Arabidopsis thaliana: one gene and its partners. The protein of the gene in region 3 purifies or fractionates together with the protein of the main gene of each other region. This does not show direct contact. Each region holds a gene or a part of one and is shown on either strand. Other genes may lie near its edges.

Region 1 (3,755 bases), 6.9 Mb from region 3:
AGTCTCTGGGATTTCTTTTATGGTCAACATCTTTACTTCTGCGAGTTCTAGAATTTACATCCTTGAACCTTTGAATTTCATTCTGGAAGGTTGAGATGTCTGATTCTGACTCCCAATAACATTCATCATAGGATAGCTCTTTATATTTGACAAGATATTCCAGCTCCCCATCTTCCTCTCTATATCATAAAAGAAACCAATGCAACTGTCACAATTCCTGATTTACGAAACAACTAAGAAAATGGTAACTTAAAAAGAAGAAAAAAAAGGTAAGCAGGTCATTTATCATGTTTCAGAGACCCAAAATCGTGATAACAGTAAATTTAGGTTAAGCAGCACTCTATCAAAGATACGTGTTTATTAGAGAATGGATTATGCTGAAAACAAGGATATTAAAAAAAAAGTTGGCAGATAGATAAATAAAGGAATTAATTCCATTCTCTAGACCTGCAGGCAAGAATCCGATCAACAGTGGTCCACTCAGGACGTATGGCAACAAAATCATCTTCGCTGTTATTGAATGACTCCATTTGACGGTGAAAATTGTTCACTCTGGTTTTTAAACGATGATTTGACTTATAAGCCTTCTGGAACTCCTTCTCAGGCACCCTATGATTAGTAAAAGGAAATAAATCACATATTATAGTGTTCACAGAAAGAAACATTGATAATTAGCGTGTCCAGACAGCAAAAAAGACACGCAGTAACTACCAAGAGCAGTGAAGGTATGATAATCCCTTCCACTTCACGAGATACTGTTTCACAAAAATTGGCTTCGGTTCCGCATCGGAGGAACCTTGTTCACTAGATTTTGTAGGACGCATTTCACAATCCAATATCTTATCTATCTCGTTAAGAGGACTAACCTGCAAATGTAAACAACAATTCTTCCATGTAAGAAAAATGGAACCTGTAGCATCCCAAAACATAATTGTGGACCGTAACTAAAATCTTACACATTCAGGGCATCTCCAATTTTCCACGGAAGCATCTTTAAGAGGTGGAACTAAGCATTTAGCATGGAACGCATAAGTGCATGTATTGCAGCTTACAAGATTAGTACTTTCCCCACAAGCCTGACATGCATTTTCTTTCTACAAATTCAGAGTAACAACACAAAAAAAAGGATTAAAATAGAACACATAAAACAGTAAAAGCTGAACAATAAGCTCGAGAGGAGAAACAAACCGCATCAGTTCTGACAATAGCCTCGACTTGCTCAAAGGTTCGATCTTTTTTAGGAACGAAGTCGTCATCATCAGAATCATCTAGGTTATAAACTGGTTTCCTATCAGATCGTATGCGAAGCCTCTCCACCAAACTACTCATTTTCTGCACACAAAACATATCTCCCATCAATAACAACAAACTTACATAAACAACACATATAACAATAGACTCAGTGCTAGTTCTGAGACTTAAGCAAACTATGAAATTAGAGTTTCACACAATTGAACTCTACTACCTAAACAAACATCACAGTGAAATTTTTTGTTCCCAATCTAAAACCTTTACAACTATATCAAGAGATAGTTCGTACAATAGCTACTAAACAACTCGATTCATCAAACTCTATACCACATGAGCAAGATCGACTAACCTTGTGAAAGAGAACGAGAGAGAAATTGGAAAAAACCCTAGCCAAAATTACCCATAAGAATAAACAATTGAGCATCGAAATGTGAGTACCCAGAAGTCGAATTAACAATCTCTTACCGCAATATCATGAAAAGATCAAAACTTTACAAAACCCAAACAGTTTCAAACTCAGTTTGTAACGAAAATTTGAAAGAAAGGAAGAGAAAAATAGTAACTTGAGAAGTAATTTGAGAAGTCGAAAGCGATATTACTAGTCGAAGATAGAGTAAAAAGTGAAGCAGAGAAGAGTGTGGAAGAGAAGGAGAAGACGAACCTTTGAAATGGTTGGGATCTGTTTTTGCAGAAGAAGAAAGTAATCCGAAACGAACGAAACTTGAAAATTCAGACAACACAAATGATTTCTAACATTTAGCTTACCAATTTTAACTTATGGTTATTATTAACTTTAATACACTTCTTAAGGTATAAAATATCACCTCTAATTAAATTACCTTCTCAATATCATTATTTTTTCACACACAAAAAACTTACTTTTTTGTTTGAAAAAATTATAATTACTTCTAACTTATAAAAATAAGTGTCAAAAATAATGACAATTACTTTTCACTTACCCAATATTGTTATTATATAAACTTAGATATTTTTAAATATTTAAGTTTATTTACCTTTTCCCCTCAAAGAGGCTAGAGGAAGATTTAACATGCTTTGCTTGGTTTCGCTATTTATCATGGAGCTGAAATCTCTTGACGTGGGTTCACTCCTTGTTGGTGCTAATTATGGAGAAGATTTTGAGACAAGGTTTAAAACAATATTGAAGGAAGTATATGCTTCGAATGGGCAAACAATCTTGTTCATTGATGAGATTCACATTGTTATTGGTGCAGGTGCTCTTTCTTTTTTTGATTCAGATTATACATTAATAGATGACCTTTTTATTTATACACAATACTTGTATGCATTTTTTTACTCTGACCAAGTAAAACGTTTTGTATAAATGGTTTTGATGGGTGGTAACTCTATAAAAATGATTTTTCATCTCATTAGAAGAATACTGCATCGAACAATTATTGAGGATTAACACTGGAGATGAACAATTATGTCTACTAAGTATTTCTTGTATAATCTTGTGTCTCTATACTAATGAGTTATTACTCTTGTGTAGGAGCTACTTGTGGAGGCGTGGAGCAATAGAAGCGAGCAACTTCTTGAAACCGTTGCTTAGACCAGGTGAGCTGAGATGCATTGGTGCAACTATGTTTGTTATATCCACCTTAACTTATTTAGCTTAAACTTAACCAACCAAACCCACTAACACTTGTGGGGCTATAATTCACTTACGGCCCAATGGCCTTATTACAAAACACAAATCCAACTCCGTTCTTATGTTGGATTTGTGTCGTTGACTCTTCTTCCTCCTTTGGTCAGTGGTCACGACAACTTCTTATTCTCTTCTTCCTCCTTTGGTCACGACATCTTCTTCTTCTCTTCTTCCAAGCTTGGCTTCTTCTCTTTTCTTCATCTTCTTCTTCTCATGAAGCTTTCTTCTTCTTGTAGGATTTAATCTAGGATTCAATCTCCAACGACATTGACCAAAAATATATAGAGAGATATCCAACGCTAAAACGTAGGTTTCAGCAAGTGTTATGTAGTCAACCAACTGTCAAGAACTAATTGCGTAGCCCTTACAATATGTAATAACAATTGTAGCTTAAATTACATGCTTTGTTTTCAGATTTTAACTATTAAATTTTTGGTATATTTCTTTGAAATTTTTTGGATAGTTCACAAACACATTACCATATTTAAATCTGAATTATTATGTGACATCAATATATAGTATAACAAATGATGATGAACTATAATTTAATCGTATGGATACTAGCATAAAGCTTATAAAATGCGTGCTCCGGTGTTATTACACGTGGTCCAAGTTCGACTATAGAATACAATACAAAGGACACAAAATCTTCATGTACAATCAAAAATTATCAACCCCATATCTTATAGTTGGAAACGATCCAAAATAGGTTATATAAATAAAATATATAAAATATGTCAAGTATAACGGTCTCACATCACCCTTTTGGCTTTTGGGGAAATATCGGATTTATAGAAAAAAAAAAATAATAATAATAATTAAGACAATAAAATATTTG
Region 2 (3,755 bases), on a different chromosome or scaffold from region 3:
TCCATGACAAAATGGGGTGAAAAAATAAGTTCTTGAAAAAGCAATAAAACAAAATTCTCAAACTTCCATGGCCTCGTGTTCTGTTTCTTCTCCTGCAGTAGCCTCCTGTGTGTTTTTTATAGGCACGCTAAACAAGTACTCGCTCTCATGCTCAACCAAGTACTGCATCGATCTCTTGGTGTCTAAAAACAATCTATAAACTCTCTCAATGTCCTGAATCTCTACGACTTTCCCTTTACGTTTCAGGCAAGCTAGGGCAGCTGCATTGATTAGATGAATCGCGTACCTAAGCGAGGTATTACATCCGATCAAAGTCAGAAGCTGTTTCGCTTCCTCGTTCATCTCCACATCCTCTTCTTGGCAACGGATCTCTAAAATATTTCTGATCTCGTCTTGTGTGTAAGGCTGTGTTGTGATAATAAGAAGACGGTCAAGAAAATCGATTGGGATCCCATGTGCTGATATCTGGTTTGTTCCTCGGATTGTTGTCATTCCTCTGTTTGTAGCCACGACCAGGATTGGTGACATATCGTTTTCGAGAGCTCTATTCAGGAAAGAGAAGCATTCGATATCAAGCATATGGACTTCATCAATGAAGAGAACACCAGGTACTATTTCAGCTTTCCCTTCTTCTCTCCACTCTGCCACTTTAGTATCGCTTTGCTCTCGGGTTTCTGAACGAATCTCGCCTGTATCACCTGTGAAGAGGGCTAGATACCCTTGAGTCCTGCAAACAACAGAAAGAAAACAAGAATCCAAATAAGAACTTGAAAAAGCATCAATACGTGAAAAAGAAGCAATCTTTTTAACCTAAACCTAAAACTAAGCAATTGACAAATACAGAACAAGATCAAGAAACAAACCTGCTATTAATAACATCAATCTCATGAAGTGTGACAGAATGCAAAACCTCCTTCCTCTTCTCAAGCTCACCTTCAGGGCACTGCACAAACTTAGTCTTTGAACCCATAACATCAAAATCTCTAGACCTCGTAAAAGATCTTCCAAGCTTAGTAATCTTCCCACAAAACCTATCCAAAACAATAACATCACCACTCTGTACTTTCTCCTTATCCAATGGCTCAATCAATTTCCATCCCAAATCAAAATTAGATTCCATATCAGTCGTCTTCATTGTTATCTTCCCAGTCTTCTTCACAGAACCACCAGAAGAAGCAGGTCTATCAATCGAAATCGTCACAACTTCTCCTTCTATCACGTCAGTCTCTTCTTTGATCCTAACACCAATAGCTTTACGAAAAGCTTGAGTTAAAGCTTCAGTCTTTGACATCTCTAAAGAAAAGATCTCACTTCCTGCAATCATAGTGAATGGTGTTTCTTGTCCAAGTGATTTTGCTATACCCATTGCTATTGCGATTTTACCCGTTCCGGGTTGACCCGCTATAAGTATAGCCCGACCCGAGATTTTGCCGTCTCTGATCAACTCGAGGGTTACTCCGGCGGCTTTACGTGCTTTGATTTGACCAACCATTCCTTCGGATACGGCTCGTGGCTCGAGTACTGAGTCGAGACCTAAACCTCGTATGTGTGAGTGTGCTCCGATTCTTTCGATCCTAGTTAAGTCTCGAGTTTCTGATAACCTTAGTTCTGCCATCGTCGGTTGTTGAGTTCACCCGAGGAATGAGACTTGGCTTTTACTAGGTTTAGACTTTGGAGAATCAATCACCAGAGTCTTTCTTCTTCGTAAAGGTTTAGCTTTATTTATATTAAAAAATTACAAGATTTTGTTTGATATATATTCTTGTTAATTTACTTATGAGGAAGTTTACATTTATATATATATATATATATATATATATATAAATAAAAAGATAGTTTTTTTGTTTTGTTTTGGAATCTGTAAAGATATTGCAGACAAAAATAAAATTGAGAAACTTTTTTTCTTACAGCAAAAATAGTAATTGATAAACTTTCTAAATTATTATTTTTTGTGCTTGTGGTTTTGAATTTGTATTTTATGTTTGTAATTTTGTGAAGTTATTGTGGTTAAAAGAAATTAATTTTTGTTGTAATTTGTTTTTAGAAATTACTCATGATATTAAAATCATGTAGAACTGCATTGGTTGTTAACAAAACAATGTGAATTATTTGCATCACCACTTTTAGAATCGTATGTAATTTTTTTTAACATCAATTATAAGTAATACAAGAAATAATATTAAATGATACAAAATGATTTTTCTTTTCAAGTGTTTGATCCATATTTCTCAATAAGCACAATGCAACAACCTAATAATAAACCTAAAAATCAAAATCAAAATCGTCCTAGAGGCTTATGTTTTTGGTCAACAGATGGTTTTTCTATTTCTTTTGTAAGAATCTCGCAATTACCATAATCAAGAAAAGAGTCTTCTTCTTGAAACTCATCATCATCATCACAAGACATCTCCTCATCTATTCTTCCCATCACAACAACGCATCTATTGTTCTTCCGATGATCCAAGGACAATGATTGTCTCATTGCAATCGTAGGTTGTCCGCCACGTGTCAGACAGCCTTGATCATGTGCCGCCGACGTCAAGGTAAAGCTTCGAGGAAGGGCGGTGCTAGGCGGATCGCAGATTTGGAAGTTTCCGGAGAGTTGACCAAAACCAGATGATCCACCACCGGAATAAATTCCGGCGCCGGAGCATGACGTAATGCTTCGTATGTAGGCGTCACGTGCCATGATCAACAGACGAAAAGGAGCCTTAACCAACCATACGAAGCAGTTCTCTTTCTCTATGACTTTCGCTTTCATTATTGGATTCTCAAGAGTATCGAAATCAAAGTTGTATATATGTAAATATATAACCTTTTAAATATATTATAAGAGACGAAGAAGAAGAAATGCTCAAAGATTTCAAGACACTAAGACAGGATCAAAGAGAAGACAAATCCATGATGACTGTTGTAAATGATAATAACAAAATTATGAATGTGATCTATTCTTAAATGTACCTAGTTGGATGATTAAATACATTTCTTTCAGTTAGATGTTTAAATTTATTAAGGTGTTGTTGCCTTGTTGGCAAATCAGTCTTAACTTATTTCATATAATATGGACACCAATTTAAATCTGGATATTTGAGATGGGTTAGTTAGTAGTTAAAAGGGTATAATGGCTTGGTTCAACTACTTTCTTCAAAGCATGACGCTTGGTATGATAGTTCGGCCCATATATTAAATTTGATCCAATGTATAGACCCAATAGATTAGCACTCTTGTTTGCATCACTACATTACTCTAACCCACTATCGAATACTACAAAACTTTAACTGATTATTGAATCCTATCGTTTGGGATTAATTTGGTTCCAAAGAAATTCATGTGAGGAGATCACAAATAAATTGTTATCGAGATTTGGCCATTACTCTAACTTATCTAGAGCGACAAATATAATTTATAACTGGAGGTACACTATTTAGATCCTAGATTGTAGGTTTCGAAAATCTTGGGCGTTACAAGCAAAAACTCTTGGTATCATTGAATCCATACGTCATATAGTGTATAATTTATTTACAAATATATAGGTGCCTCATGCATGTGTCTGATATGTACATACTACTATAGACATAGATTTAGGGGGTAGAGCGTCACGACTCACGTGACAGTCCAAAGCTAAAATGGCTAGAAAATCAAACATATAGAATACGCGTAGGAATGCGGTATATACCTTTTTTATTCCTTCGTGCTTCTACTTTTGCATTTATTAAAAGATTGTTTCACACTTCTTTAACGTTAAAATAAATGAG
Region 3 (3,755 bases):
AGTAAGGGACTGATCCCCACTGAGTTCCTTCACAGTAACTCCAAAATCCTTCAAACGTTGAGATAGACTATCCACGACCTCAGCAACAAGGGCTTTCATTGGTGCAACATAGACAATTTTGTAATTACCATGATTAAACGTTCCACCAGGGTTCATATTCAATCCAAGCTGGTGCAGTATGGTGAGCACGGCAACATTGGTCTTCCCAGCACCAGTTGGAGCACAAAGAAGAATGTTGTCAGCCTTAAAAAGAGCAGTGCCGTACACTTTGCTCTGAACCCTATTCAACTGCTGCATTCCCCTAAAAGCTGGTTGGGCCCACTCTGGCAAATCGCTAATTTTCACAAGCTTTTCATTACTATCAAACTTTTTAGAAACCCACGGCACATGAACCTCATCAAATTCCTTGCCACGTATTCTGAAAGAGCGATCAGGAAGCTCACACTTGTTATTCTCCCTCGTGAAACCACCTTGGTTAAAAGCAAGGCTCTCCAGGTCCATCACCTGACGCTGGCCCTTCAACCAACCATTCTCCAAATCTAAATCATCAACATCTCTCATGCCTCTGTCTCCGTCAACACCAGAATCATCATCCATAAGATGTTGAGCTTCTTCTTTGATATCTTTCTCCCGTTTCTCCTCCCTTTCTTTGGCTGTTGCTCTTTTGGCATGCAACTCCTTAACAATTGCTGCCAACTCTGAACCTAACCCCAACATCTCCTCCTCAATTTGATTCCTCTCTTCCTGGTCTCTTCCCCTAGCCAAACGGGTGCACCACACAACTTTAAGACGGTTTTGCAACAGAAATTTAACAAGGCTGAACTTTTCAAACTGAAGGTGCTCAAGCAGCTTGATCTCAACATCCCTATCATTACCCTCAGCAAGTATCTTAAGCAGCTCTTCTGCGAGTTCCTGGCACTCTTGTGCATCAATCTTCTGCTCATATTCTTGAGATATCTTTCTCTGAAGCCAATAAGCATCAATATCCAGAACATTAAGACTCGTATCCTCCTTTGCCTGTCTTGCATCCTCGCCGTTTATTGCCACACCCACCTGGACAACTCCAGTTTTGTTAAGCTCAACAACATCTTCATCCTCCTCATCTTTTTCATCCTGGACCATATCAAGATCACTCTCATCATCATCCTCTTCACATTCAAGGGCAACACCAATATCATAATCAAGTCCTCCATCCTCACTAGCTTTACCACTTAAAGAATCACCACCCTCTTCATAGTCTGTAATCAGTTTTCCAATCGAAACAAACTGACTGAAAACCTGATCAGTAATAACGTTTAGTAGTTTCTCAATCTCTACCTTCTTTTCATGGTTTTTGACGGATTCATTCTTAAGAACTGCCAAAATCTCATCAGCCGCACCGCAAACAATGTCCAAAGGCTGCCCACCCAATTGCTGCTGGATAAGACCAAGCATAATCTCAAAAGCAACCCTTGTTTCCTTAGTCTTCGGCTGATAAACACCATCCTCCGTATCATTAAGTACACTCACCTCCCTAAGACGAACTCTTTTGCTCTCACGAGCAGACACCAAATCATCACAACGTTCCTTCTTCTTCTTAGATTTATTAAGCCGCTCATCTAACTCATGAGGCCTTCCCCTAACGACACGATCTCCAAAGGATTTCGGATCAATCCTACCCCTGAGACTCTCCGGTTCACCAGAAGATTCATGCGTATCACGACGACGCTCATCACTGTTAAGAACAAGACTGGAATTGACTTTGTACCCATACTGCTTCAACCTGGCTTGCTCCTCCGCACCACCACCACCCAAATTCGTCATCACCAAATCGGAAAAACAAACCCCAAATTCCAAGAATTAAATCAATGAAACAAAACAAAATTCGGAACGAAAAACTCTTCTATTACCTCTCTCCCGTTCTCCGTAATCGTCGTCTTAAGAATTTGATCGAGTCGATGAGTTTTTTTTTTTTTTCGTTCAACAGTCTTATATATACACCCTAAACAAGTCTTAAACCGACAATACATTGTCGGCCACAAATTCCAAACCCACGAAGGCCTGTCCGGAAGCCGACTAAAATTATGGAATTGTCCGGTTCAATCCGTTTTAACTATAATTAGAAGAAAACATTAATTAGAGTTGGTTCTTGATGAGTGTTTTCGTATAATCAGAGCAAGTTATCGTATCATTAGACCGTACCAACTAGCCAATCCGGTTTTCTGGTATTAGTAAAAAGCAGCGGTTGGATCCTATGACAATTAACGGTGAGGATTCGATCTTGAAAGCAATGCGTACGTAAATAGAATTGGGCCACAAGCCCAGTTTTATTCAGAAGGGCAAAATTGAAATCTGACAAAGAATTTGACGAATTGTGACAATGTGCGCTTTGAAAAAAAACGAAATTTATCCCGCGTGAGATGAAAAATTCAAAATATTTCACACAGGTGAAACCACTTTGACACGTGCGAGCTCGAAATTTTTCATTTTCAATTACAAAACCCGCCTAGAAAATGGTCTAAATTTTGTTTGCCAGATCGTCTCTCTCTCAAAAGCTTTTCTCTCTTTTTCTCCTTTGTCCCCTCCACTTTACCGTTCACGAAGCCATTCCGAGCTATCACGAAGGAATCTATTGAAGATTCATAGGTAAATCCATGGTTTGATTTGTTCAAGTAGGTTCTTTGTGATGTGACGGAGATTTGTTGCGAAAACGAAGAGTTGATCTCTTTTTCTTGTTGTTTATGAGGTTTCGAGAAAATCTGATTAACAATGGAGAACAAGACTGAGTTCTTGGGTTTTAATGTTGCGATTTCGATTTTGGGTGTGTTCTAATGGCATAGTTGTTTGATTTCTTCAGCGCTCAATCACAAATGCCAGAAGCACGAGATCGAATAGAGAGGCAAGTTGATTACCCAGCCGCATTTCTCAATAGACGCTCGCATGGTATTTTACTTGACGAACCAGCAACACAGCACAATTTGTTTGGGTCTCCGGTTCAGAGAGTGCCATCGGAAGCTACAGGAGGACTTGGGTCAATTGGTCAAGGATCTATGACGGGAAGAGGTGGGCTTGTGAGGGGTAATTTCGGTATTCGGCGGACTGGTGGTGGTAGAAGAGGTCAAATTCAATTTAGATCGCCACAGGGACGAGAGAACATGAGCTTGGGTGTTACAAGGCGTGGAAGGGCTCGTGCTTCAAATTCTGTCTTACCTTCTTGGTATCCAAGAACGCCCCTCCGTGATATTTCTGCCGTTGTTAGGGTTAGTTCACTAAACCTAGTCTCATTTTGGATTTGTCTGCTTATTCTTAGATTTAACTGGAGTTTTTTTCATTGATATATAGCTAATTTGTGATCTGTTTATATCTGGTTTGTGATTTGCATATTGGTTCAGAATCTGCTGCTTATAAGCTAGATTAGTCTTCTGTAACAGGCTTGCTTAGCCTCTTTGTTAACTATATCATAAGTCATAACCTGTTACCAAAAGGCTTGCTTAGTCTGGCTATTTACAAACTCTTATATGCAGGCTATTGAGAGAAGGAGAGCTCGTATGGGAGAAGGTGTTGGCCGAGATATTGAGACCCCAACTCCACAACAACTTGGGGTTCTTGATTCTCTAGTACCGTTGTCAGGTGCTCATCTCGAGCACGACTATTCTATGGTTACTCCCGGTCCATCTATTGGATTCAAGCGTCCTTGGCCACCCTCAACTGCTAAAGTCCATCAGATTTTGCTCGACATCACAAGAGAAAACACAGGGGAAGAAGATGCCCTCACT

The links.
Region 1: the proteins of AT2G42270 (region 3) and PKL fractionate together in Arabidopsis thaliana (co-fractionation; one large-scale study listed by BioGRID). This does not show direct contact.
Region 2: the proteins of AT2G42270 (region 3) and AT3G49830 fractionate together in Arabidopsis thaliana (co-fractionation; one large-scale study listed by BioGRID). This does not show direct contact.

Annotation. Positions count from the first base shown.
Region 1 is NC_003071.7:10,711,985-10,715,739, reverse strand, and holds the start of PKL (chromatin remodeling factor CHD3 (PICKLE)), read right to left. Parts: upstream 1,676-3,755; coding exon 1,601-1,675; intron 1,333-1,600; coding exon 1,189-1,332; intron 1,095-1,188; coding exon 957-1,094; intron 867-956; coding exon 712-866; intron 610-711; coding exon 448-609; intron 180-447; coding exon 1-179. Other genes in the region: AT2G25169 (uncharacterized protein), read left to right, coding at 1,726-1,809, 2,282-2,397, 2,762-2,826, 3,025-3,134. UniProt on the Arabidopsis thaliana protein: Chromatin remodeling factor that represses the expression of embryonic trait genes (such as NFYB9/LEC1) upon and after seed germination and thus enables the developmental switch to post-germinative growth. Silences some MADS-box proteins such as PHE1 and PHE2.
Region 2 is NC_003074.8:18,480,243-18,483,997, reverse strand, and holds AT3G49830 (P-loop containing nucleoside triphosphate hydrolases superfamily protein), read right to left. Parts: upstream 1,750-3,755; 5' UTR 1,616-1,749; coding exon 864-1,615; intron 728-863; coding exon 58-727; 3' UTR 18-57; downstream 1-17. Other genes in the region: AT3G49820 (uncharacterized protein), read right to left, coding at 2,276-2,761.
Region 3 is NC_003071.7:17,602,378-17,606,132, reverse strand, and holds the start of AT2G42270 (U5 small nuclear ribonucleoprotein helicase), read right to left. Parts: upstream 1,804-3,755; coding exon 1-1,803. Other genes in the region: UVI4 (uv-b-insensitive 4), read left to right, coding at 2,850-3,239, 3,504-3,755. UniProt on the Arabidopsis thaliana protein: RNA helicase that plays an essential role in pre-mRNA splicing as component of the U5 snRNP and U4/U6-U5 tri-snRNP complexes. Involved in spliceosome assembly, activation and disassembly.